Linked DNA regions of Tamandua tetradactyla. The protein of the gene in region 2 interacts with the protein of the main gene of each other region in a biochemical or structural test. Links are inferred from orthologs where the notes say so. Each region holds a gene or a part of one and is shown on either strand. Other genes may lie near its edges. The genes, in order: WDR82 and SETD1A.

What was found.
Region 1: the proteins of SETD1A (region 2) and WDR82 form a complex in vitro, tested with the Homo sapiens proteins (2 studies listed by BioGRID). The link is inferred for Tamandua tetradactyla from reciprocal best matches to the Homo sapiens genes SETD1A and WDR82.

The regions. Positions count from the first base shown.
Region 1 is NC_135341.1:33,589,638-33,601,033, reverse strand, and holds the start of WDR82 (WD repeat-containing protein 82), read right to left. Parts: upstream 4,473-11,396; 5' UTR 4,160-4,472; coding exon 3,999-4,159; coding exon of another isoform or gene 3,971-3,998; intron 1-3,970. UniProt on the Homo sapiens protein: Regulatory component of the SET1/COMPASS complex implicated in the tethering of this complex to transcriptional start sites of active genes.
Region 2 is NC_135349.1:23,546,205-23,558,108, reverse strand, and holds the start of SETD1A (histone-lysine N-methyltransferase SETD1A), read left to right. Parts: upstream 1-5,885; 5' UTR 5,886-6,562; exon of another isoform or gene 6,563-6,601; intron 6,602-6,680; exon of another isoform or gene 6,681-6,761; intron 6,762-6,832; exon of another isoform or gene 6,833-7,018; intron 7,019-7,347; 5' UTR 7,348-7,362; coding exon 7,363-7,512; intron 7,513-7,713; coding exon 7,714-7,809; intron 7,810-9,574; coding exon 9,575-9,845; intron 9,846-10,944; coding exon 10,945-11,066; intron 11,067-11,307; coding exon 11,308-11,537; intron 11,538-11,829; coding exon 11,830-11,904. Other genes in the region: ORAI3 (protein orai-3), read left to right, coding at 2,974-3,636. UniProt on the Homo sapiens protein: Histone methyltransferase that catalyzes methyl group transfer from S-adenosyl-L-methionine to the epsilon-amino group of 'Lys-4' of histone H3 (H3K4) via a non-processive mechanism.

The DNA.
Region 1 (11,396 bases), on a different chromosome or scaffold from region 2:
AGAACAAGACAAATATAACTATTTGGGAAGAAAGATACCCCAAACAACATAAGTCATAATTTATAACAAAGACATATGCAGAGATATGTCAAATCAAAGAGACAAGAACTTTTTCTTAAGCTATTCACTTGGAAAGATGCACTTTCCTCAAAAAAGGCACTGATTTAGCAAAACTGAAACCAGATGCAAAACTGCTTCCCCTTTCCTAATCTAACTACTTTTGCAGAACATATGCATCCTCCCTATCCTACAGGTCCAAAGCACCTGCCAAGCCTTTTAGCAGGTAAGCCTAACCTTTCCTAGCAAACTAATCAAGGGTTCTTTTCTTTTTACTTAAAAGTAAAAGGGCACAATACCAAGCTTAGGGGTTATCAATCTATTTGAAGCACTTCTAGTGTCTTCCTCTATAGAACCTTGAAGATCAGGATGAAACTAATCTTAGCAAAATCTTTAACCAAAAACTTTCACACACACTGCTTAAGTTAGGCAACCCCACCCCACACTCAAACGACTTTGTAAAGCTAGATTTCAGTAATAGGACTCTCTATAATTTACCAAGCCAGAAAACAAGAAAGAATTTAACATAATGTTCTTCATTTAGGTCCTAGAAGGATTTCATAAATCCCATACCAATGTTTACCAAGAATTCCAATTTATGAAAAAGTTCACCTTTTCAAGGTAAAATCCTCTTGGAATTTAGAAGCTAAACAATCAGAGGACTGAGGCAGCCTTAAGAAGTCAGGCTGCACTTTCAGTTTTTGTTAATACTGAACAATTTTGTAAATAATTCTTTGCACTTTCAGTTTTTGTTAATATTAATGAGGCCAAAGCTTCCCGACATAAAATCTATTTCTAAAGAATCTTGATTCCAAATATGCCAGATTTTCCATATTCTTACATCATCCCTAAAAAAAGATGAGCTCAGGGGTGCACAGTAGCTTAGCGGTTAGAATGCCCCCCTTCTATGTGGAAGAACCAGGTTCTATTCCCAGACCATGCACTCAAAAAAAAAAAAAAGCAGATGAGCTCAAAGCCTACCGCTGAGTCTACCATCTGGGGTTCTGCTGTAGGTGAGTGAGGTGTGTGTGTGTGTGTGTGTGTGTGTCTGTGTGTATGTGTGTGCAACTCAAAGCTGACTTTGAGTCAGAGGAAAGAGAAGCCTACCCCAGAGTATTTCAGCCTGTCTACAATAATGAGGACAGAGCCTAAAGGGTGTGGCATAAGTTTTCATTTCCATTTAGATGTGGCCTATTTGTCACAAATTTATCAATAATGCTAATCTGAGATTTGTTCCTAATAACAGAATTCTGTTAATTCCCTAATATAACCCGTTTCCTAATTTGAAAGTAAGATCCTAAATGCAGCCATTTCAGGGGGCCTTTACAAAGCCCATGCACATTTTTTCACAATTTTTAAGGGTAAACTCCTAACCTCAAACTATGATTCTGGTAATCAGGTATAAGGCAATAATATAAAAGCCTTCTCTTTAAATAATTTGTACTACCTACCACAAACAATATCCTTTATATTCTTTGAAGTTGGAAAAATTACTCAATGGATGAACTCCACTGTAAACAAAGATTAAATGAACATTAAACTGGAAAATATTAAGCACAAAGAATCTGATTTTAGCCATTTTCAAACTCCCAAATTCTAACACTAGTACTACCTAATAAAGATACTATGCCTTCCCAAGAAACATTACTTTTCATCCAATGTTGATTTAACCTACACTAGTGGCAAAAATTTTCTTCACATTACCTCTTAGGATCATGAATTCCTAGAGACTAAAGAGACCTTGGAAGCAATGGTTGTCTGATATTGACTTCACCAACATTACATGGCTGGTCATAAGGCCAAACTAGAACCCAAGTTTCCTAACTACCAGGTTTCTGATGCCACAGAGTATAATGAAACAAGGCCACAATTGCTTGATGGGAGAAAATTTTCAAAAGCATGCCTATAGTACTGTATCAACACTACATTTCTTAATTTAGGTAACTGTGCTCCAGCTCTGTAAGACAAGGTCCTGGTGCTGAGGCCATCCATGGTGAAGTGTTTAAGGATAAAAGGGCCTGATAACTTCAATTTACTCTCTAATAGCCCAGGAAAAAATATGCATACAAACAAATATTTACATAGAGTGATAAAGCAAATGGAACAAATGTAACCAACTGGTAGATCAAATGGGAGGTCTCTGATCAATGTTGTAACTTTTCTTTAAGTTTGTAATTATGTAAAAATGCTAGGAGGGAATATATTGCATTGTCATAAAGTTGGCATTTTACTTTTAACAAGACAGAACTTCATGCCATTGTCATCCCTCCCAACAATTCGAAATTTTACCACATTCGGAGACCAACTAAATTCTACTACAGCCTTCATTACCTTTGAATCAGAATACACCTCCATCCTCAGGTACCAGGGAGAGGTTCTAATCTGTGTACAAGCAATTAACATTTCAGGCAAGCCAGCTTCAAATTACTTCTAGTTCCAGACTCTAGAATCCCAACCCCAACCCCAGCTTGAAACTCCCTCTTTCAAGCTGACTTCTAATGGTCAGGCCTGCACAGAAATCCATCTACTAAATGAGTAACACTGACTCAAATAACTTAGTATGGTCCAGGTAACAATTCCCTCTCCCTCAGGATCACCACCGCAGGCACTCTTCCATACACTGCAGGCAGATCCAGAACCAATTACAAAATACTTTCTCACAAGGACCAGTGGGAAAAAAATTAGGTAGACCAAAACCGCACTACTTTAAATAATCAAATTGAGAAATGAAGAAACAAGTTCCAAAAGAAAAGTTTAGGGATATCTGTTTAAAAAAGAAAGAGGCAAAAGGAACACCTGGAAAAGAGAAAAATCCAAAGATTCAAGAAATATCTGGATCCAGATAACAAAACAAGGTCTGACAAAACCAGTAACCACCGACTTAAAAGTAAGTCTGCTTGGGGAAGATGGCTGAGGGAAACTCAAAAATTTAGCTTAAGGCTCCAAAGGAGCTCACAAGTCAGTAAGATCTGGAGAAAGCCAAGGATACAGGAATGAAGCCAGGCTGAAAAGGTGCCCCAGGGAAGAATGCAAAGTGCTGTGCTTATTAAGATTTTGCAAGAGATGCAGGTGTGGTGGGTCGCCCGAGGATCTGGGGCAGCATAAAAGTTGCAAGATCAGACTAGTAATTTTGATCATTCTATGTGGACCACGAAGTGTAATCGAAAAAAAGTGGGAGAGGAAACACGAAACTGTTATACGATGCTTTCTTTGTTCTAACGGGAGGCTCACATTCAGATTGGGATGGGACGGCCAAGTTCGCTGGTGTTATGGCAAAAAGAAATAACAGGAAAGGAAGAAAAAGTTTCAGATGTTAAAAAGTTCAGTATAAGCGTGGACACCGGGTCCGAGGGAGTAACAGAATGGCTTGGAAGTGGAAGGGAAGGACCGGGGCCCAAAGAGGCACTACAAAATGAAATCCTGACAGCTAAGAAACTGCACCCACGCGGCCTTATGGTAGAAAGGCCGATGGAAGCTGAGAGGCAGAGAATGGGTGGACTACCGGGGCTGGATCGAGGTCACCGAGAAGAGGGCAGAGAGAGGTGATGCTCTAGAATAAAGCTGGAGTAGTTCTTTGAGGTTCAGTGTCTGGGCCAGAGCCAATGGGCACCATCGACAGTACCAGGGTAGCGGAAAACTCTACCTGCTGGGGGCGGGATGGGGCGTTTTAAAGGTCAAGGTCAAGGTGGGGTTCGGTAAAAGATGCAGAAGTGCTCTAAAAGGAGACCGAAAACAGACAAAATAACACTGACAACAACAATAATAATAAAGACGAAGGAAAAGGAAAGGTCTCCCGGACGGCTGCACGTTGCAGGCGCCCCTGTAAGCAGCGAGTGCAAAATAGGCCAAGAGCCGAAGTCGAGGAGGAGGGAAGGCCGCAGGGCGAGAGCCGGGCCACTGGAGGGACTCAAACCTGGGCCCAGGGCCAGCGCCGCACTCACTTGCCCTCCTGGCAGTCATAGAGCACGATGGAGTCGTCGTCGCTGCTCGAAATGACCGTCTCGCCGTTAGGGCTGAAGTCGAAGCAGTTAATCTTGTCCGAGTTCTCGCGGAACACCTTGGCGACGCGGAAGCTCCGCAGCACGCTGTCGGTCAGTTTCATGGCGGCGGCTGCTGGAGGCGGCGGCGCAGGGCTGGGGCGGGGCCCAGCGGCGAGCTGGCGGGCGGGCTGCCGAGGGGCCAACCTGGGCGGAGCGGGCGCCGCGCCTGCGACGAACGAGAGGACAGGCGACAGTCAAGCCGCCTTCTCTTTCTACTCGTGCAGTACTCTCCTGCCCGGACTGCGGGGACGTGCAGACGGTTTCTTCTCCCGGTCGCCTTAGGGCCAACCGGCGCGAGTCCTGCTCATTGTGTCCACCATCTTGGGACGACAGGCAGAAGCCGAAGGCGAGGAGCCTCTGCCGTGGTGCACGCCGGGAAAGAGGGTGGGGCGGGAAAGGCCGGGAGGCGGGGCGATGACGTCAGGGTGGCCTCCTGGGAGTGGAGCTACTGGGCGGCCTGTGGCTGCTGTGTCCCGGTGAGTTGCTGGACCAAAGGGACAGCCGAGGGATTTTGTGCCGGGCTTTGAGATATCCCGAGAAACTCGGGGGCCCCCTGCTGGCATCTTGACCGCCGACCACGAGGAAGCTGAGCACTGCTAGTGTCAGGTGCTGCCCTGGAGATCAGTTTTGGGGGTGTTTTCAGATGAGCAGATAGCGGGCGGGCCTGACTGCTCGCCCAAGACGCCGCCGCCAGCGAAGAATTTCAATTTCTTTTTTATTAATTGAGATATAAGGTAAGGTGAACTGCCCACATTTTAAGTGGATGATTTTTTTCATTTGATTATACTCTCTGACCACCACCTAGAACTTTTTCAAAGCTTTTTAAAAAAACTTTTTATTGAGTTATAATGAAAAGAGTTGAAGTGAGCTAATCTTTTTTTTTACATTTTTATTGTGAAATATAACATATATACAGAAAAGTAATAAATTTCAAGTACAGTTTAACAAGAAGAAATGAACTAATCTTAAGTGTAGCTCCATACAGTTTTATAAATGTAAAAGCTCCTATATTTAAGCTTTAAAACGTACATTCTAAAATGCATAGCGTCAGTTACAAATAAAAATTTTAAAGGAACAATTATCTCCTGAATCAACAAAATGCAGTTTTAAATTCTCCTGACTCCTTGCTCGCCTTATGCATATATACACGTAAACATAGAAGTAACCATTTTTGTCCTGCTATAGTAGTGTATCTTACTCATTTACCTGCGTTACTAAATCGGATTGTTTTGGTGTTTTTTATTGAAGTGTAATTTAGATTCAGTAAAAATTTCTCCTTTACACTGGATAGTTTTATGAATTTCGACACCCACAAAAAGTCTCCCAACCACCACCATATTAAAGATATACAACAGTTCCATTACCAGCTTTGTAGTCAATGGGATTGTTTTAAGGGCAATATTGTAAAAGGTATTTTTTGCTGTAAAAGGAAGGAAAGTTGATCTCTAGTAAAGGATCACAAAATAGGAACCATGCTTTCTGGCTTTAATTTTCTTCAAGGGATTAAACTCTGTGCAATCACTACAAGTTTGTTACTGGATAAAGGCTGTGGATTCTGTTGCCTTACGCACTCAATAATCAATTCTTGACACACCAGGTTTCAAGAGAGAGAGTTTATAACTAGGTGTGTAGTAGGAGAACAGATGGTCTAGCGGCCCGAAATCTGTCTCCCCAATTTTAGGGGGTTCAAAATTTTTAAGAATTTTAGTAAGGGGAGCTGAGGTCATTACAATTTCAAAAAAAACAGCTGAAAGGAAGGAAGGCTGAACTATCATGTCACTACTAAAGGTGTAAGCCAAAGGGAAGGGAGACAAGTTATCTTTCAATAGCAGAGTCTAACTGATACTATTTACAGATGTCAGACGCTGAAAGTAGTTAATGGCTGACTTCAAATTTTTCATTAGTCTTAGGGCTTTTTCCTTACAAGAAAATGAGCAGATAAGGGGATAACAGCTCTTACAGTCACAAAGGCACAAAATAAGGGCCTTTGCAATCATTTCAGGTATCAGGGCAGCCGAATTATAGTATAGGGATTTCAAGCATTCCTCTCTACTCCAATATTCCAGAAAGCAAAAAGGAATATCTATATAATGACTCAATAATCAAAATCATCCCTTAAGGAAAATTCAACTTCCCCAACTTTATCCTGGAGGTTATTCTTACGCATTAAATAGATAACACCTTGTTAGTCGAGATGTAATGGAGAGGCTGGAGGGAAGTGCCTGAAAATGTAGAGCTGTGTTCCAGTAGCCATGTTTCTTGAAGATGATTGTATAATGATATAGCTTTCACAATGTGACTGTGATGTGAAAACCTTGTGTCTGATGCTCCTTTTATCTACCTTATCAACAGATGAGTAAAACATATGGAATAAAAATAAATAATAGAGGGAACAAATGTTAAAATAAATTTAGATTGAAATGTTTGTGATCAATGAAAGGGAGTGGTAAGGGGTATGGTATGTATGAATTTTTTCTGTTGTCTTTTTATTTCTTTTTCTGAATTGATGTAAATGTTCTAAGAAATGATCATGATGATGAATATGCAACTATGTGCTGATATTGTGAATCACTGATTATATATGTAGAACGGAATGATCATAAATTAAGAATGTGTTTTTTTGTATTTTTTTAATTTAAAAATTAATTTTAAAAAACTGAAAAAAATCATCCCTTAAATCCTAATTTCTCGATTACAGATTCTAGGATCTCTAACTCTTGTTGCTTCACAAATAGTTAATTGGACAATGGTAGTGGATCCTATTTATTTTGCTTTAGTAAACTTGCAGTGATTAAACAGGAAGAGAAACAAAGAAGGAAGACTGTTGAGTCCTTTTAGTCGCTGACATCAGGAAGATTTGATATCCAGAGACCCAGATGTAACCCGGACAACAGTAAAAACAACAGAAAGCCTGAGACAGTTGGGCCCTTTCTGGAAAGAACTAGGGTCTCATCTCCTGGGTAAAAGAGGAGCCAGGATTTTTACTTAGGAGAAATCTTTTTTTGAGGGGAGAGGGTAAGATCCTGCCTAGGTCTGGGCTGCAATTGCCTCCTGACAAAGAGCAGAGAGCTTCTGGTTACAATTTGCTCTGGGGTCAGGAAAAAGCCTGTTTGAAGGAAACCTGAATGGATGGCAACTTTCCAAACTGCAAAGCAATGGGAGAAAAGCTCTCGGTGCCCCAGAGCACTCGCTCACTCACTTCACTGCAAAATCCTGCATCTTTATCTACAGGCTAGAAAGGCTGATATAGAGCCTTCTTTGAATCCTTAGATAGCAATAAGACAGATTTGGTGCCACGTCCAGGAACTGTTGGTAAGTAATATACTCAGTAAGATGCCATATTTTGGCTCATGTTAACCTACAAAGAATATAGCCACAAAAACAGCCGAAACCTACTCAATGTTCTCAGCCAAAATAAATCTTTGCAGCATATCTTTCAAGTTTGTATTCACTGTACCTTTTCCAGATTTCACTGTTAAGACCAAAGCTGTCTCCTAAGATTTGGCATCCTGCATTATTTTTGGAATGCAAAAAGTCATTTTTTCATATTTTATGAGTGTTCTGCTATGGGTCACAGCCTGGAGACTAATTCAGATACTATTTCATATTCGTAGCCCAGCTCCCTGCCTACTATAGCCCAGCTGTTCCAGACTTCCAGTCCACCAACATTGCTGCCTGAAAGGCTGGACTTTAAAAAGTGACCCAGAAAAGCTGGCTCCAGTGGAGGATGTTCAGAGGGGGAAGCTGCAGCCAGAAGTAAATCAGAATGTCTCAAAGAGTATCAGACTTAATTTTTACTTTTCCTTTTTTTTTTAAAGCATTGTTTCATTCATTTACTGTTTTCATGCAAGTAAATGCATATGAATTGAAGAAAAACTTAAAAATGCAAGTAAGTAATAATAATAATAAAAACATCTAGAGATGGCCACTGTAACATTTTGATGTAGAACTTTTTCTCCTGAAATCTATTCTTAATGGGTTCTTAATATGATATTAGTTATAATCTACTCTTTCATAGGAACATCTTCCAGGACAGTAAATATAGAGTTACACTATATATGGCTATATAGTATTCCAGCATGTGGTTGTAAAGTAATTTTGCTTCCCATTTTATTTAGAGCCCAGCCAGGGTCTGGTTCAATATATATTGTTAATTGAATAAGTGAATTTAGGATTCCAGATATATTATTGGCCCATTTATTACATTTCTGCTTTTCATATTACCGAGTTTAATTGGAGCCAGTCCTAAGAAATTTATCTTCTCTCCAGAACAGAGAGTTCCTTATGAATACCAATTCTTGGAGATAGATTTCTGACTTGGAATGCCCCGTGGGGTACCCCTGGAGCTTGATTAACCTCTTATAAAAGCCCTCAGACCTACCAGTCAGGTCTCTCAGGTGACCATCTTCATTAGGAAAGCTTCTTTAGGAGCATCCACTTGAAATTAAATTGCCAAAAAGGAAAGGGGTATGTTGGAATACAGTTGCAGCCCACAGTAATTTTGTATAGCATGTTTCAGTTGTCACACATAGCTTACACATAAATACTCCTTACCTGAAAAATTGCTCGATTTGCTAAATGAATGCTTCATTTCACTCTCCACCAAGAGGAAATAAATGTACTGTGATGGCCATGAATGGAGATAATATTTTACATCAAATGGAAATTACAAACTTCTTCTTTGGCGTTAAAGTCAACCCAGCAATGGCTTAATTAACTTAAACATATTTTCTGTTGGCTTCTTGCTCCCAGTTCCAACCCAGCTCTTGGAGGGCTTGGATCAGGGCAGCCCAAAGATTAAAGGACACTTCTGACATGGAATTAGGCATGAGTTTGTTAGGATTTACGGGCAGGAGAAGATCTTCCATGGTGGCAGCTGGCCATGGAAAATTGAAGGTTAGCACTCCGCAAAGTGGGCGAGGGGAGTGCAAGGGCTTCTAAGAGTTTAGGACAAGGGTATGAGAATAGAGTTTCAGCAAGGCCTAGTGACACAGGGGTCTGGAGGTTTGTTATCAACAGTGATCAAAGGAGGGGAGTTTAAATGCTTTGTTTATGATACCATCTGTACATTCTCCCCCCCTCTCCCCACCGCCAGGAGGTTTGATGGCCTTTAATATCTATACCAGTCATGTAGGCTGCTACGTACCTCTTAATATTAAGGGGAATCCCAGGCCCTGGATCCCCACACCCCTCAACCCCATGATCAAATTAATATATGTTTTAAAGCATTTTAAAAGATTTAAAAAAAAATTTACTTTTAAATAACACACAGGGAAGTTGCAAAAATAACGGAAAATTCTAATATATCCCCCACCCAGTTGCCCAGATTTACCAACTTTTAACATTTTGCCACATTTGTTATACTATTCTATCTATGTGTCTATCTATTTTCTAAATGTTTGAGAGTAGGTTGTGAGGCAGGCTAAAACAGTAAGAGAGGGGAGAGAAAAAAAAACATGAAGGAGCCCTTAATCAAGGTCAGGAGGGCCTATGTCCTGCACAGACAGTCTGCCTGGGGCTACCACTTATGGGAGACACAGCAGCAGCTGACCCATCTGAAGCCAAAGGACCCCAACCTGCCATCTATGGAGAGGGCTAGAGCCCACCGATTTGTAACTGAGAAATTAGGATTGAAGGGATGATTTCGATTACTGAATCGTTATATAAATATTCCTTTTTTGCCTTGTGGTATATTGGAACAGACGTAGGGAAATACCTGAAATCTCTAAATTATAATCCAGCTGCCTTGATACCTGATAATGATTTTATAGCCTTTATCTTCTGTCCCTGTGATTGTAAAAACCTTGCGACTAACCTTCATTTGTACACATTTATCCAGTTTTTTAACTTTAGAGTCTTGCAATCACTAAAGACAGCCCCAACTGTTTATTAATGAAGGGTCTTGGGTCAGCCCAGAACTAACCCACCCAAGTCCGAAGTTATCTTGATGACCGAGACTGGGTCTAACCAAAGTGGGCCCACCTGACATGTGCAGTAGCTTAGACGTTAACCTACAAGTCACCTGTACCTCATTATAAAAATCACACCCTTCATCATATTAAGGCCACCATTTTCTTATATACATTCTTCTAAGCATGTAATCAATCTGCACATACTCAATAATTAGATCACCTGTAATTACATCATCTGGGGACACTGTGCTCATTATCCTAAACTCTGCCCATCCTTTTCTCTACTAAAACTATGAGAATTACTGCAGTTCTGGGAGACAGATTTTGGGCTAATAGACCATATGCTCTCCTACTACCTGCCTATTACTAAACGCATTCTCTCTTTGAAACCTTGGTGTCTCAGGAATTGATCATTGAGCAGATTGGGCAAAAAATCCACCGCTTTTGTCCAGTAACAGACCCACCAAATACACTACCACCAGGCACCACCCTGGAGAGAAGGGAGGGTAGAAGAAAAAGCCCTGAATTAGGAAGGGGTAGGAGGAATAAGTAAAGCTAATCTACAAATGGCCCCACATTACCTGTTGTCTTTTCCCTTTATCTTGTGAGAGTGCCCACATGAGCTTTCTGCATGTGTACTCAATACGTTTTCTGCCTTCTTGCTCTATCTGTGTTGTGCCCTTGAATTATTTTCTCTTGGCATGGCCAAGAAACTGGAAGCTGAAATTCGGCAGCAGGTTGCATATATCATGCTCCTTTACCACTTTAATATTCCCATGCTTATTTCCTATGAACAAAGATATTCAGTTAAGTAACTATATTGAGTACAGCATCAAGTTCACGAACTTTAATATTCAATTCATATTAAGTATTCCATTTTTTTCAGTTGTCCCAATAATCTCCTTTTGGACATTTTCCCCTCCATTATTAGATCCAGTCCAGGAACATTACAATGTTTGATAATTTTTTGCAAAGAAACCAATTATTTCATATCAATTTATGTAACTCTTTCCACTCCTGAATTAAATGTTGTATTGCCTCAGTTGTCCCAAGTGATTGGCCCATGGAAGACTCAAGGTGGTCTCCTAGGGATACTACTAAGTAAGCTGAGACCTGAGTTTCTGGGCCTCTTACTTAAAGGTCCAGATGCCTGTCAGAGCAGAGGAACTCAGTCTTTCTCATCATAGGCTCAGTACTGGCTCAGAGCTATAGGGCTGCCTCCAATTCCCAGAATCTATGGCACTTACTGGAATCACATGGAGAGATCCTGAGATTCTAGGATCAGGAGGCCTGAATGAAAGGTGGGTATCTTTCCCCAGTTGTAGGATAGGCTACATAATTTGCTGGGTATGTGCAAAATAAAAATATTTTAAAAATTATTAACAAA
Region 2 (11,904 bases):
GTGGCCGCCCCCAGGATGAAGGGCGGCGAGGGGGACGCGGGCGAACAGGCCCCGCTGAACCCCGAGGCCGAGAGCCCCGCGGGCTCGGCCACGTACCGAGAGTTCGTGCACCGCGGCTACTTGGACCTCATGGGGGCCAGTCAGCACTCGTTGCGGGCGCTCAGCTGGCGCCGTCTCTACCTCAGCCGGGCCAAGCTCAAAGCCTCCAGCCGCACGTCTGCCCTGCTCTCGGGCTTCGCTATGGTGAGGGGCAGGAAGGGGTTGAGGTGAAGCACATAAGGGGAGGGCACAGGGTCGTGGGTAAAGTAATCGGTCCCCGTGGGGGACAGGTTAGAGGAAAGGTAAAGCAGGCTTTAAAGGGGGAGGGGGGGGCAAAAGGTCCCAGGGGCCACACAAGTGCCTTTTCATGGGTGGCTGGGTTTGTGTGTGTCAACAGGCTGCCGGGAGCATAGGCAGATCACCAAGGGGGATGAATATGCAGCAGTAGGGCAAAGAGGTTCTTGAGAACCTGCTGGCAGCGGTAGTTACCCAGATTCCTAGGGGCCGGAACAATTAGAGTTTCTGGGCTATGCACAGGGCTGGGGGTGGGGGAGAATAAACTGGATGGAGGGGTCACCCACGAGAGATGGGCCCAGTCCAGGGAGAAGGGCTACTGCCCAGCAGGCACAAAGGATGCTGAACATGTCTCAGGAAAGCTTCGAGAAGGGACAAGCCTTGAGGAAGCCGCTGGGGAAGGAAGCTGATTAAGGAAGCTGATAAATGATTCCCGAGCTGATATACTTCAGGTGTGGGTGGATGCTAAAAGCTAACGGTCCAGCCTGGACCCACAGGAAGTGGGGCAGAGGGAGGTCCCAGGGCGAGGAACCAGCAAACTGCAAACTGAGGTCCTGCCTTCCCCCTGCCTGTGGCCAGCTGTGTGACCTGAACAAGCCTCCACTCCCTCAAAGACCAGTGGGAAATCTAGTGAGATCATGGCAGGTGTGGCCAACATAGCCTGCCAAGTACCAACCTGGGGATGAGCTGTGATTCTTCTTACCAGGAGCCCTAGATCTGAGCAGATCAGAGCAGGACACATGCCAGAGATGGCTCAAACTAACCTCAGTTCATTGGACAGGCCCCGAGTGGGGCAAGGGTTCTGCCAAGGGCACTAGCAGTGAACTAGGACCCAGGGTCTCCACCATTATGACAGGGAGAGACGTGGGATGGAAGGGGTGGACCTCTTGGGAAGGTGCTTTAGCAGGGGAAGGGGAGATATGGAGATGGGGATAGAATCAGACAAGGTGGGTGTCATGGCACTAAGTGATTTGGCTTCATCCCTGCCCTTCTCTGTGTCACAGCTTCTGTATTTGAACAATAACAGAAATCTCTTTCCCAAAGGTCATCCTCGGTCTATGGTTTTCTGTGTAGGAGCTCAGGATCCACAGGCCAGCCTACCCTTCCTGACGGGGTAGGGTGGGGGGGTTCATCTGGGGACAGAGTTGACTCCCCTCCATTTACCCATATATGGACCTCACTGGGGGAGGTCCCTCCCACCACCAGCCTGATGGTCCAGCCAGTTCCCAAGGGGACAATCTGGCCTGCTACTGGATTTGCAGGTTACTGGGGTGACAGCTTAAGGGGCATGGCCTTCTTTGCAGAATCAAGAAGAAGCCAGATGTGTAGGTTCTGGGAGTAGAACTGGCCCCAGTCCTGGCAGGGGAGAGCAAGGCTGGGCCAGGCCCTGGGAGAAACCAGAACTAGACCTGGCCCAGATCCCATTTGTGGAAAATACCTGTTGATACCTGCTATGGCCCAATTTCCCAAAATATTCAGCCCTGTCTTCTTACTACACCTTCCCCCAGCCCCAGAGCAGTCTAATGGACCCTACAAGAACCAGGAATGGAGAAAGAACCAGATCCTGTAATCCAGTTAGCCTGAGTTAAAATGAAATTGTATTGAATAGTCATTAAGTACCAGATACTGGTCACAGGGCTTTTATAGGCATCATCCTTCTATTACCTTTTGAAGTAGGTACATTGTGGCCATCTTGCAGAGGAGAAAACTGAAGATCAGAGATATTAAGACATCTGCCCAAGGTCCCACAGGAAGTTCAAATTTATAAAAGTCTAGAATAGGGTCATCAGCTCTAATGTTTACAAAGGCCGGGTAGGTAACCTGGATGCCAGGTTGGCTGGGGGTGGGGGTGGGAGGACTGTGGCAATCCAGGGACCCCATGACTTGCCCAAGGGGAGCAGCCATGACTCAGCTCCTGCAGATAATTGCCTTGTAGCAAGGTGGATTTGGTATGGCCAGATCTTCCAAATTTTCAAAAGGATCTGGAAATAGGGATATTTATATGGAATCTCTTGAGTTTTACAAGTTGGCAATTAATTGAATTCTTTTAAAAAAACATGCCGTGTGAACTAAGCAAAACATGTCTGCAGTCTGGCTTTGGCTCAAAGAGTGCCAGTTTGCAACCTTGGGCTGAGGACTATCAGACTGATGAGTCTGATAATAGCAAATACAAAGCAACTGCTGTATGCTCACCCTATTCTTAGCACTGTGTATTATCTCTGATTTTCACAAGAACCTGATGCAGCAGGTTGGTACTATTATTTAATCCCCATTTTCCATTTGAGAAAAATGAGGCACAGAAAGAACTAAGTCACTTGCTCAGAATTACACAACTGATATTGGTAACTAGGTGGCCCAACTCTGGAATCTGTGCTCCTTAACCCCAAAGTTATACCAAGTTAGAAACAGACCATCCAGCCCTCTCAATAGCCAGGGTGGAGGAGGGTACAGAAACTGAGCCCAGGACAGGACAGAACCTTGCCAAGGCTGCCATTCATTCATTCAGAAAGATTAGGTCCCTGTTTTGTATGCCAGGCACTCTTCTAGGTTATAGGGACACAATGATGAATAAAACAGACAAAGAATTCTCTTCTGTGGAAGAAGTCATGAACACTCAAACTAGCTCCTCTTGTCCCACAGGTGGCCATGGTGGAGGTACAGCTGGAAAGCGATCACGAATATCCACCAGGCCTGCTGGTGGCCTTCAGCGCCTGTACCACCGTCTTGGTGGCTGTCCACCTCTTTGCACTCATGGTCTCCACATGTCTGCTGCCCCACATAGAGGCCGTCAGCAACATCCACAACCTCAACTCCGTCCACCAGTCGCCACACCAGCGACTCCACCGCTATGTGGAACTGGCCTGGGGTTTTTCCACTGCCTTGGGCACCTTCCTCTTCCTCGCTGAGGTTGTCCTGGTCGGCTGGGTCAAGTTTGTGCCTATTGGAGCCCCTGTGGGCACTGCAGCCCCTGTGGTACCTGTTTCCCAGGTGTCTGGGACTCTGTCACCAATGGCCACCTCCCTTAGGCCAACTTCCAAGCTCCCACCATCCCCTTCTGTAGCTCCATCACAGGCTGGGCCCCCTGAGCCCTGCCTACCCAGGCAAGTGTGTGGTACTCTTGGGGCCCACGGGCCAGGCTGGCAAGCAGCCATGGCCTCCACGGCCATCATGGTACCTGTGGGGCTGGTGTTCGTGGCCTTTGCCCTGCATTTCTACCGCTCCTTGGTGGCACACAAGACAGATCGCCACAAACAGGAGCTAGAGGAGCTGAGCCGCCTGCAGGGGGAGCTGCAGGCTGTGTGAGGCTGATGTTAGCCAGGGCTGTAAGCACTGCCTCTCTCATTCCCACCCTGGCTGTAGCCACTTCCTGTGGCCACTCTCAGGTAGAGACCAGATTCTGTCTTAGGAGTCCTTTGGACTGGGCCTTAGGGCAACTCCCACATTCCCAGAGATTTTTGCTCTTAGTCTGTCATACACAGGTATCGTAGGTTATATGTGACACTTGGGCTGGTCATGGGAGGAAGTAGAAGGGTCTCAGTCTCTGAGGCTCATGCAGGAAGTAGAAGGGAGGCAGGGAGACCCTGGTTGGAACCTTGGTGCTGACCCTTAGCTACTTACCCCTGTGCAAGGTGGGGAGGTCAGAAGGTTATATACCCACCCAGCTGTCTCAGAAGGGAGACAACTCTTGCTTTGTTTTTGTGGAATCTACCTTATGGTTGGCATTTTTGGAGAAGCTTTTTCCTATCCCGATTTTGATGAGTTCCACACTCTTGCTTTAGTTGCTGCAGAGGGATTTGAGTGTTTCTACTCCAGGAGGAGCCTCTCTAATTCTGGAAGTCTAAGCCCCCACCCCCACCCCACTGTGGGGGCCCATGGCCACATACAAAAGGGTCAGGGCCTGCCCCACTCCCCTAGGTATGTACTTGTGCTTCCACATCTGGTTCTCACTCTCCTGGGTTAGGACTAGGGGGTCTTTGGAGACCAAGGGTCTTTGTGCCTGGTCTGACTCCCTATCGAGGATTGGGGTGAGGAGGAAGGATGTCAGGTTATAAAGGAAAAGGTCCAGTTCCTATCCTTTGGAATGCAAAGCTACTGACACTGAATTTTTGACGCACCTTGTTTTATATAATAAATTGTGTTTCACAGATGTCCCTGTAGCTGTGAATGGGGTGAAGGGGAGACCTGTTGGAATTGGATGACTTGTTCATGAGAACCAGGTGGAGGCTAGGGTACCCAGGGGTGGGGTCAGTGCCAGGAGTGACCTCATCTGGTGCTGGAAGGGGCCAGCAGCTTATGAATGTGGAAACCAATTTATTCCAAAGGCCAAGGAACTCTCATTCCTATGAGCTGAAGGTGTCCACCTCTCACATTGAGGATTTAGAATAAGTTACTTAAGTGACTACTACAAGCTAGAGGATTTCCACAGGTTATCTCATTTAAACCCTTACAACCACCTCAAGAGAGGAGTCTACAATCATCGCCATTTCAGAGATAAGGAAAATGAGTCCCAGGAAGGCTCGGCATCTTGCCCAAATTGAATTGACTCGCCTTTACCATCCCTTGGGAAATCTCTTTGACTTGAAAAAAGCAGCCAGGCCCTTTCAACTGTGCCTCCATTAAAATAATTTTTTCAGCCTTATTTTCCTAAAGAATTTAAAGGGCCCCAATCCTCTCTCTTCTACTCTTGTGGTGCATGGCCTTAGACAAATTCCCTTGTCCTCTTAGTTAAAGTGGTAAAACTGCATGAACCAGGCTCCAAGGTCTTTTCAAGCACTGTTCTGATGCCTACCCTAGTCCTGTGTGACAGGAATGAACATCCATTTTTAGAAGACTGAAGCTTAGAGAGGTCAATGACTTACCCAAGGTCATAAAACCAGGGAGCGATGTAGACATGGCTGGACCTCAGGGCGACCTAAGCTCAGGCAGAGGGGTCTCGTGGGAGTCCCGGTTCTCAGACACGAGAGTGCCTGGGTTCAAGAGAGAAAAGGGGGGGGGGTCCCGACACTGGGCAACCCTAGCCCGTTTCCCCGATGTAGACCTGGGCTGGTGCTGCCCTCGAGCGGCCGAACTGTGTGAGCAGCAGACTCACTTCAGTGCCGACTGAAGAGACGGGCACTCAGATCATGACGCCTGGAGAATAGGTTAGTCCATCCCAGTTCCTGTAGGATCTATTCCAGTATTTTTGTAAAGGACACGTTTAAAGATGTTCAGCCCGAACAAGCTTTTTCAGAGACCCTTTTGAGGCAGCCTCGGATTTGACCACTAACAGTGGGGCTGACCCGTGGCAAAATGCGGTCTCTCTGCAGGCCTCAGTCTCCCCATCTGTCAAACGGGGTTCCTAGACAACTAGAGGTCCCAGAGACATAACGGGAGAAAAACACTCCCTGCATTCTGTGCGCCGCCAGGCAAACGGCCTGAGTCACCACAGCTTGGTTGTATTTTTCCACCTCCCAGACGCCCCTCCCAGCCCGCCCCGGTTTTGGTGGGTCCAACAGGAAGCACCCCTGAAGCACCGGGCTCCGCAAGCTCTGGCCACACCCCTCCGTGCGCGGCGCCTTGGCTCCGCCCACAGTGGGAGCAGCAGATTCGCTAGGTCCGCTCCTCAACATTGCTCCGGCCCTGTATGCTCGGCTGAAAATTTTCATCGGACTCCAAGAGGAGCGCTGGGCCGAAACTGTTCCCTTCTGAGTCGAAAGTGGACTGCCCTCTGAGTTGTCCTAGTAAGAAAGATCCAGAAAAAGTGACAGACGTGCCAACAGGGTGGGCTAACCGGCGTTATTTTCATGACTCCGCCAAGGAGGGCGAAGGGAGGTGACAGCTGAAGCCAGGATCCGTGGCGAATCTGCGGGCCCTTAGCCCATTCGCCGCGAGAGAAAGGGGCAAGGAAGAGGAGCAAAGGAGCGCTCATCCTGTCCACCGATTTGCCCCGCCCGCCTGACGAATCTGCGTCTGTTCAACGCGCCACTCAAACCTCCCCAGCTCTGGCTGGCTTCTTCCCCCTCCGCCCCGCCCCCTTTTCCTCAGGGACTAGTCGCAGCTTTCGTCGCCGCCGATTCGTCAAGGGACGCAGGCCGAAGCAGCTAGATAGTGGTGGTGAAGCCCACTCTCCGGGGAATGCGGCCGATCTCCAGGCTCCCTGGGCCGCAACTCCCGAGCCTTACAGGGTGCCGGCCGAGACGAGGCCGCTACCCTCGGCCCCGTGGGTCTCCCGGCGGCAGCCGTGGCGAAAGTGCAAATGCAGACCCTGTGCCCGCTGGGCCTCGTGCAGGTGGCGGTGGTGTTTGGTGCGCGCGCCGGGGAGGTGGTGGTGGTGGGGGGGCGCCGCCGCCGCCACCGCTGCGGGGCCGGGTCTCGCGCTGCCGCCGCCGCCTCGCGCCGCTAAGGTGCTGCGCGGGGTGGGGGGAGGGGGAGCCGCTCGCCACGAGCGGGTGAGTGGGGCCGCGGCGCGCGTGCGCGGAGTCCGGGGGTGGGGGGGCAGAGCGCGCCGGGGCGGGAGAAGAGGGCAGCGGCGCGCGCTCCCCCCACCCCCCTGCCCGGATTCGGGGCCGAAGCCGGGTCTCGGGCTCGGTCTCGCGGTGTTTCCAACGCCCCGAAGAGGTGCCACCTCTCCGCCAGAGGATCGGGGCGCGGGGACGAGAGCGGGTGTGTGGGAGCGGGAGCCGGGCTTGGCCCGGGCCGCTGGCCGGTGAGGAGGCGGGAGGGGGCGGGGCCTACTAGGGGGCGGGGGAGGGGTCTTGCTCCGAGGCCAAGTGGGGCGCGCGCTAGGGAGAGCGGGAAGGTAAGGGGGCGCGAGATGGCCCTGGGGGCCCGAGGGGAGAGTTGGGAGGTGGGGAGAGAATGGGGTGTTGTGGTGAAACAGTGGGTACCTGAGGGTAAATCTGGGAGAGCCACGAGTGTTGGTGAGGTGTGGAAACAGGGCTAATGAGAACCTGGAGTCTGAGCTAGTCGGTAAGGGGCTGCAAGACAGTCAGGCCTAAGTCCTGAACCCCTTTGCGTATTTTTCTTTACTAACAGTGTAAATGAGCAAAGATGGATCAGGAAGGTGGGGGAGATGGGCAGAAGGCCCCGAGCTTCCAGTGGCGGAACTACAAGCTCATCGTGGATCCTGCCTTGGACCCTGCCTTGCGCAGGCCTTCTCAAAAGGTGTATCGCTATGATGGAGTCCACTTCAGTGTCAACGTGAGTGCTTAGGCCTTTCCTTTCCATGTAGGAAACTCCAGGCCCTGGCTCTCTGTTACCTCTGTCCAGCATCTAGAACTCCTGGAGCCATAGCCTGCCTTCTGAAAAAAATGGGCAGTGCATATATGTCTCCAGATGAGCTTCCTAGAGCTCAGCAATCTAGTTTCATGTTAAGCTGTCTTTTCCTGCTTTCCTTCCTAGGACTCAAAGTATATACCAGTTGAAGATCTCCAAGATCCCCGTTGCCACGTCAGGTCCAAAAACAGAGACTTTTCCCTCCCTGTCCCTAAATTTAAGGTATGTGCCTGCTAGTCTACTGGTGTGGTAGTCCTTGGAGGATGTGGAGGTTCCATCCTGACAGTCTGGTCATAAAGTAGCCTAATGGGAAGGGATTTTCTGATGAAAGGTGCACAACCAGCTCTGACCACCTCTGAGGCTCTGAGACTAAGTTGCTATGGACAAGAGGGATGCGTATCTTCTAGAAAGGTGTAGGTGAGGCTTCCCATGTATATCCTTGGTGGCAGCAATGTTCACTTCTTGAAGGATGAGGTAAAGACAGGCTGAACTGCTATTCTCATTACTAGACGGTGCATGGCATGACAGTGCTCTGTTTAGGTATCCCAGTTCCTCAACGGGGTGTGTGTGTGTGTGTGTGACAAGGACCTTGCTTCCCTGGAGTTCTGTATTTCACCTCTCCTTTGGTGATCTTCTTTCTTCTTAGCTCAAGAGGACTAGAGGACTCCCATTTCCCTGTCTAGTGGGATACTCATCAGGCCTTGAAATGGGCCTAGCAAACTGGTTCTTTAGTTTTCCTCATTAATTCTTTATTCTTCCTTCTTAAATAAATTGTTCTGGGGCTCTCTCACCCCCCCCCTCTTTTTTTTCTAATTTGTATACTTGCCCTGGACAGTCTCTTACATACCCACAGCTTTGACTGTTACCTAAATGTGGGTGACTTCAAAATCTGTTTCCAGCCAAGATCATTCTCTTGAACTCCAGGCTACATGCCTGTTACAGGGACAGTTCCATCTGGAGATCCCACAGGTACCTCAAATTCAAGAGGTTTATAACAAATGATCTTTAACACTTCAGTCCTTCCTTCTGTTTTCCCTCTACTGATGAATGGCCACAGCTTCCACTCAGGTGCATGAGCTAGAAACCAGGAGGCATCCTATGACTCTCCTGTCCTCTATAGGGTGTCCTCGCCAAGAATCTGTCCCCATGCCTTGACATGTGTCCTTTCCATCTTCAACTCTCCTGTTGCTGTTTCCTTAATGCAAATCCTTGTATTTATTTCACTTGGTTTCCTTAACTCCATTCTCACCTCCAGTTCACACTCCACACTACTGTCACTTATTGCTTTGATTTTCCTGTTCTCTTACTTTCCCTTTGTTGCTCAGTCTCCATTTTTGAGCACTGATGTCTATGATTATTGATCTGGCTCCAGTTCAGCGCCTGTCTTAACACCATGCTCCTGTGTTCCACCTATACCAGACACTTTGTAATTTCCAGAAAATGCCAAGTTGTCTTATGGCTCCATGTCCTAGAAATTCTTGTCATCTTGGTAAGCTTCTGTTTATTTGAAAAACTCCATACAAATGGCACCATTTTTATGAATCCTTCCCTGACTCCATTCCAAACAAAGGTTTCCTTCTCTTGGCTCCCAAATGCACTTGTCCGCACCTCTGCTCGCACTTGTCGCGTCACATTGTCATTGTCTGCATCTATCTGTTTTATCCACTCTTCTGAACAGGAGTCACTGTTTCTCCATTTTCATATTCCTAGTGCCCAGGCCTTGGAAGTCACTTAGTAAAATATGAGCAAATGAATTATTTCCCTATGACTTGCTCCTTCCACGTATGTTTTTTCTTCGTTTGCACGTTTCTTTTCTTGGTTCTTGCCATTATTCTGTGTATCCTTTAGCTGTGGCTCTCTTTATGATATTTCTCCCAGGGCCCTCAGTTTCTCAGTCCCATTTCTATTGACCTTGTGGATCTAAAGTTCCCTCTAGGGCAAAAGAACAAGTTTTGAAACTCCAGGCCAACTCCCTTCCTCTCCACAGCTGGATGAGTTCTATATCGGACAGATCCCACTGAAGGAAGTGACCTTCGCGAGACTGAATGACAACGTGCGGGAGACATTCCTGAAGGATATGTGCCGAAAGTATGGTGAGGTGGAAGAGGTGGAGATCCTTCTTCACCCACGTACTCGCAAGCACCTGGGCCTGGCCCGTGTGCTCTTCACCAGCACTCGGGGAGCCAAGGAAACAGTCAAAAACCTCCACCTTACATCTGTTATGGGCAACATCATCCATGCCCAGCTTGACATCAAAGGTAAGGACTCCTTTGCCCCCTGTCTAAAGTTAGTCTCCAGCAGAGGTGGTATACTCAGATACCTTTGGGGGCCAGGCAAATGATCACGTTCACAATTTCTTATCAGAAACTCTTGAGGCCAGATGTCTTTCAGAAATGGGTATTTTTCCAGTTTTGGTAAGGGGTGTGGTATGTATGTGGTCTTTTGCCTGTTATTTCCAGCAGGGTCTGGGGCAGCATCCATGGCCAAGTACTTGACTCTATCTGTAAGAATATGTATAAAGCGTCACACTAGATAGAAGACTAGTAGAAGTAATAAATAGTAAGTAGCCTCAGCTCAGGTCAGGTTTTGAAATCAAATTCCAAAAAAATACCAGGTTTTTGGTTTTTGAACTTTTGGATACAGAATTAAGGATCTGTCTTCATCTGGGGCTTCTGTGATAAGGAGCAATAGGGAGAAGTAGGGACTATGGTGAACTGTATGTAAATTTAGTCCCATCTAAAGAGACAGCTTCTTTAGGCAACAATTTACAATGAGGACTAATGTTGCCAAGTAATCTAATTTTAAAAAAGAAGCCAGAAATACAGATTTTTGTGTGAAATTTCATGGTTTTAAATACTGGTTCCCTCCAGAATTTTTGAAGTCATTGCAAGTAAAATACCACTGTGGGCTGCTTTTAGCCGTCAGGCAGCCATTTTGCGTCTTTTATAGGAAAAAGAGCATGGTGAGAGTTAGCATCAGAAGGCCTGGGTTTGAATTCCGGTTCTGCCACTAAATAGATTTGTGACTTTGTGCAGGTTAGTTTCCTTTATTCCTCTAAAATAGGGACACCAATGATTTTCTTCCTTGTGGTCATCAAGTATAGTAATATAAGTAAAGATGTTTTTGTAATCTGAAGTGTTATACAGTGTGTTTATGGTATAAACGTATACCATATGTTATTAGGGACAGGCTATAAGATCCCAAAGATAGAGATAAGATAGAAGAACTAAATCTCCAAATCTAAGACTCCAAGAAATCGTAGGAAACGCAAAGCCCGACAGAGAAGGAGAAATATCAGATTAGGAAGAAGCTGTGTTGTCTGTCTGACCCTGTTGGTTCCCATTTCTCTTCCTCCAGGACAGCAGCGAATGAAGTACTATGAACTGATTGTCAATGGCTCCTACACCCCCCAGACAGTGCCCACTGGGGGCAAGGCCCTGAGCGAGAAGTTCCAGGGCTGTAGTGCAACCCCTGAGACGGTGAGGAGTTTGGGGCTACCACAGCCCTGGCGGTGTGGGCATGGCACCTGGGTGCCAGGAGCAGGAGCAAGAGCAGCCTTTGGGAGGTTCTCAGCTTTCCTGTTAAGTGCCGGAAGAGTTAGAAAAAGTGTCTGGAAGCTTTCAAAAGACAAGGAAATAGAATTCTTGGTTTGGAGTGGGAGAGTTCTCTAATGGTACTTGATCTGTTTTACTTTCTCTCTGCCTCACTCCCACCCTCCAGACTGAATCCCGCCGCCGATCCTCCTCTGACACAGCGGCCTACCCAGCAGGCAGTGCTGTGGTGGGCACCCCTGGCAATGGCACCCCCTGCTCCCAGGACACAAGCTTCTCTAGCGGCCGACAAGACACCCCGTCTTCCTTTGGCCAGTTCACCCCTCAGTCCTCCCAAGGAACTCCCTACACGTCTCGGGGCAGCACCCCCTACTCTCAGGATTCTGCCTATTCCAGCAGGTACAGAGCAGATGCCATCTGGGGCCCCTAATCATCAAATCCTGGGAGCTGCCACTGGGAAGAAGGAACCCAGGTCTCTCCAAGAGGGAATTGGAAATAATTTGTCCTAATTTCTCTGGATTCAACCAACAAATCCGAGTCCTCAGCCAACTCAGTCAATAACTCAGGAAAACAGTAGCATTGAGATCTTCCTTTCAGGGTGTGTAGAGGGATTTGGGTGTACTGAGAATCAGGACACCAGGGTTTGGTAACATGGAGACAAGTCCAGCTAACTCCCCCACTTCTTCTCCAGCACTACTTCAACCTCCTTCAAACCCCGGCGGTCGGAGAACAGCTACCAAGAATCTTTTTCCCGCCGCCATTTCTC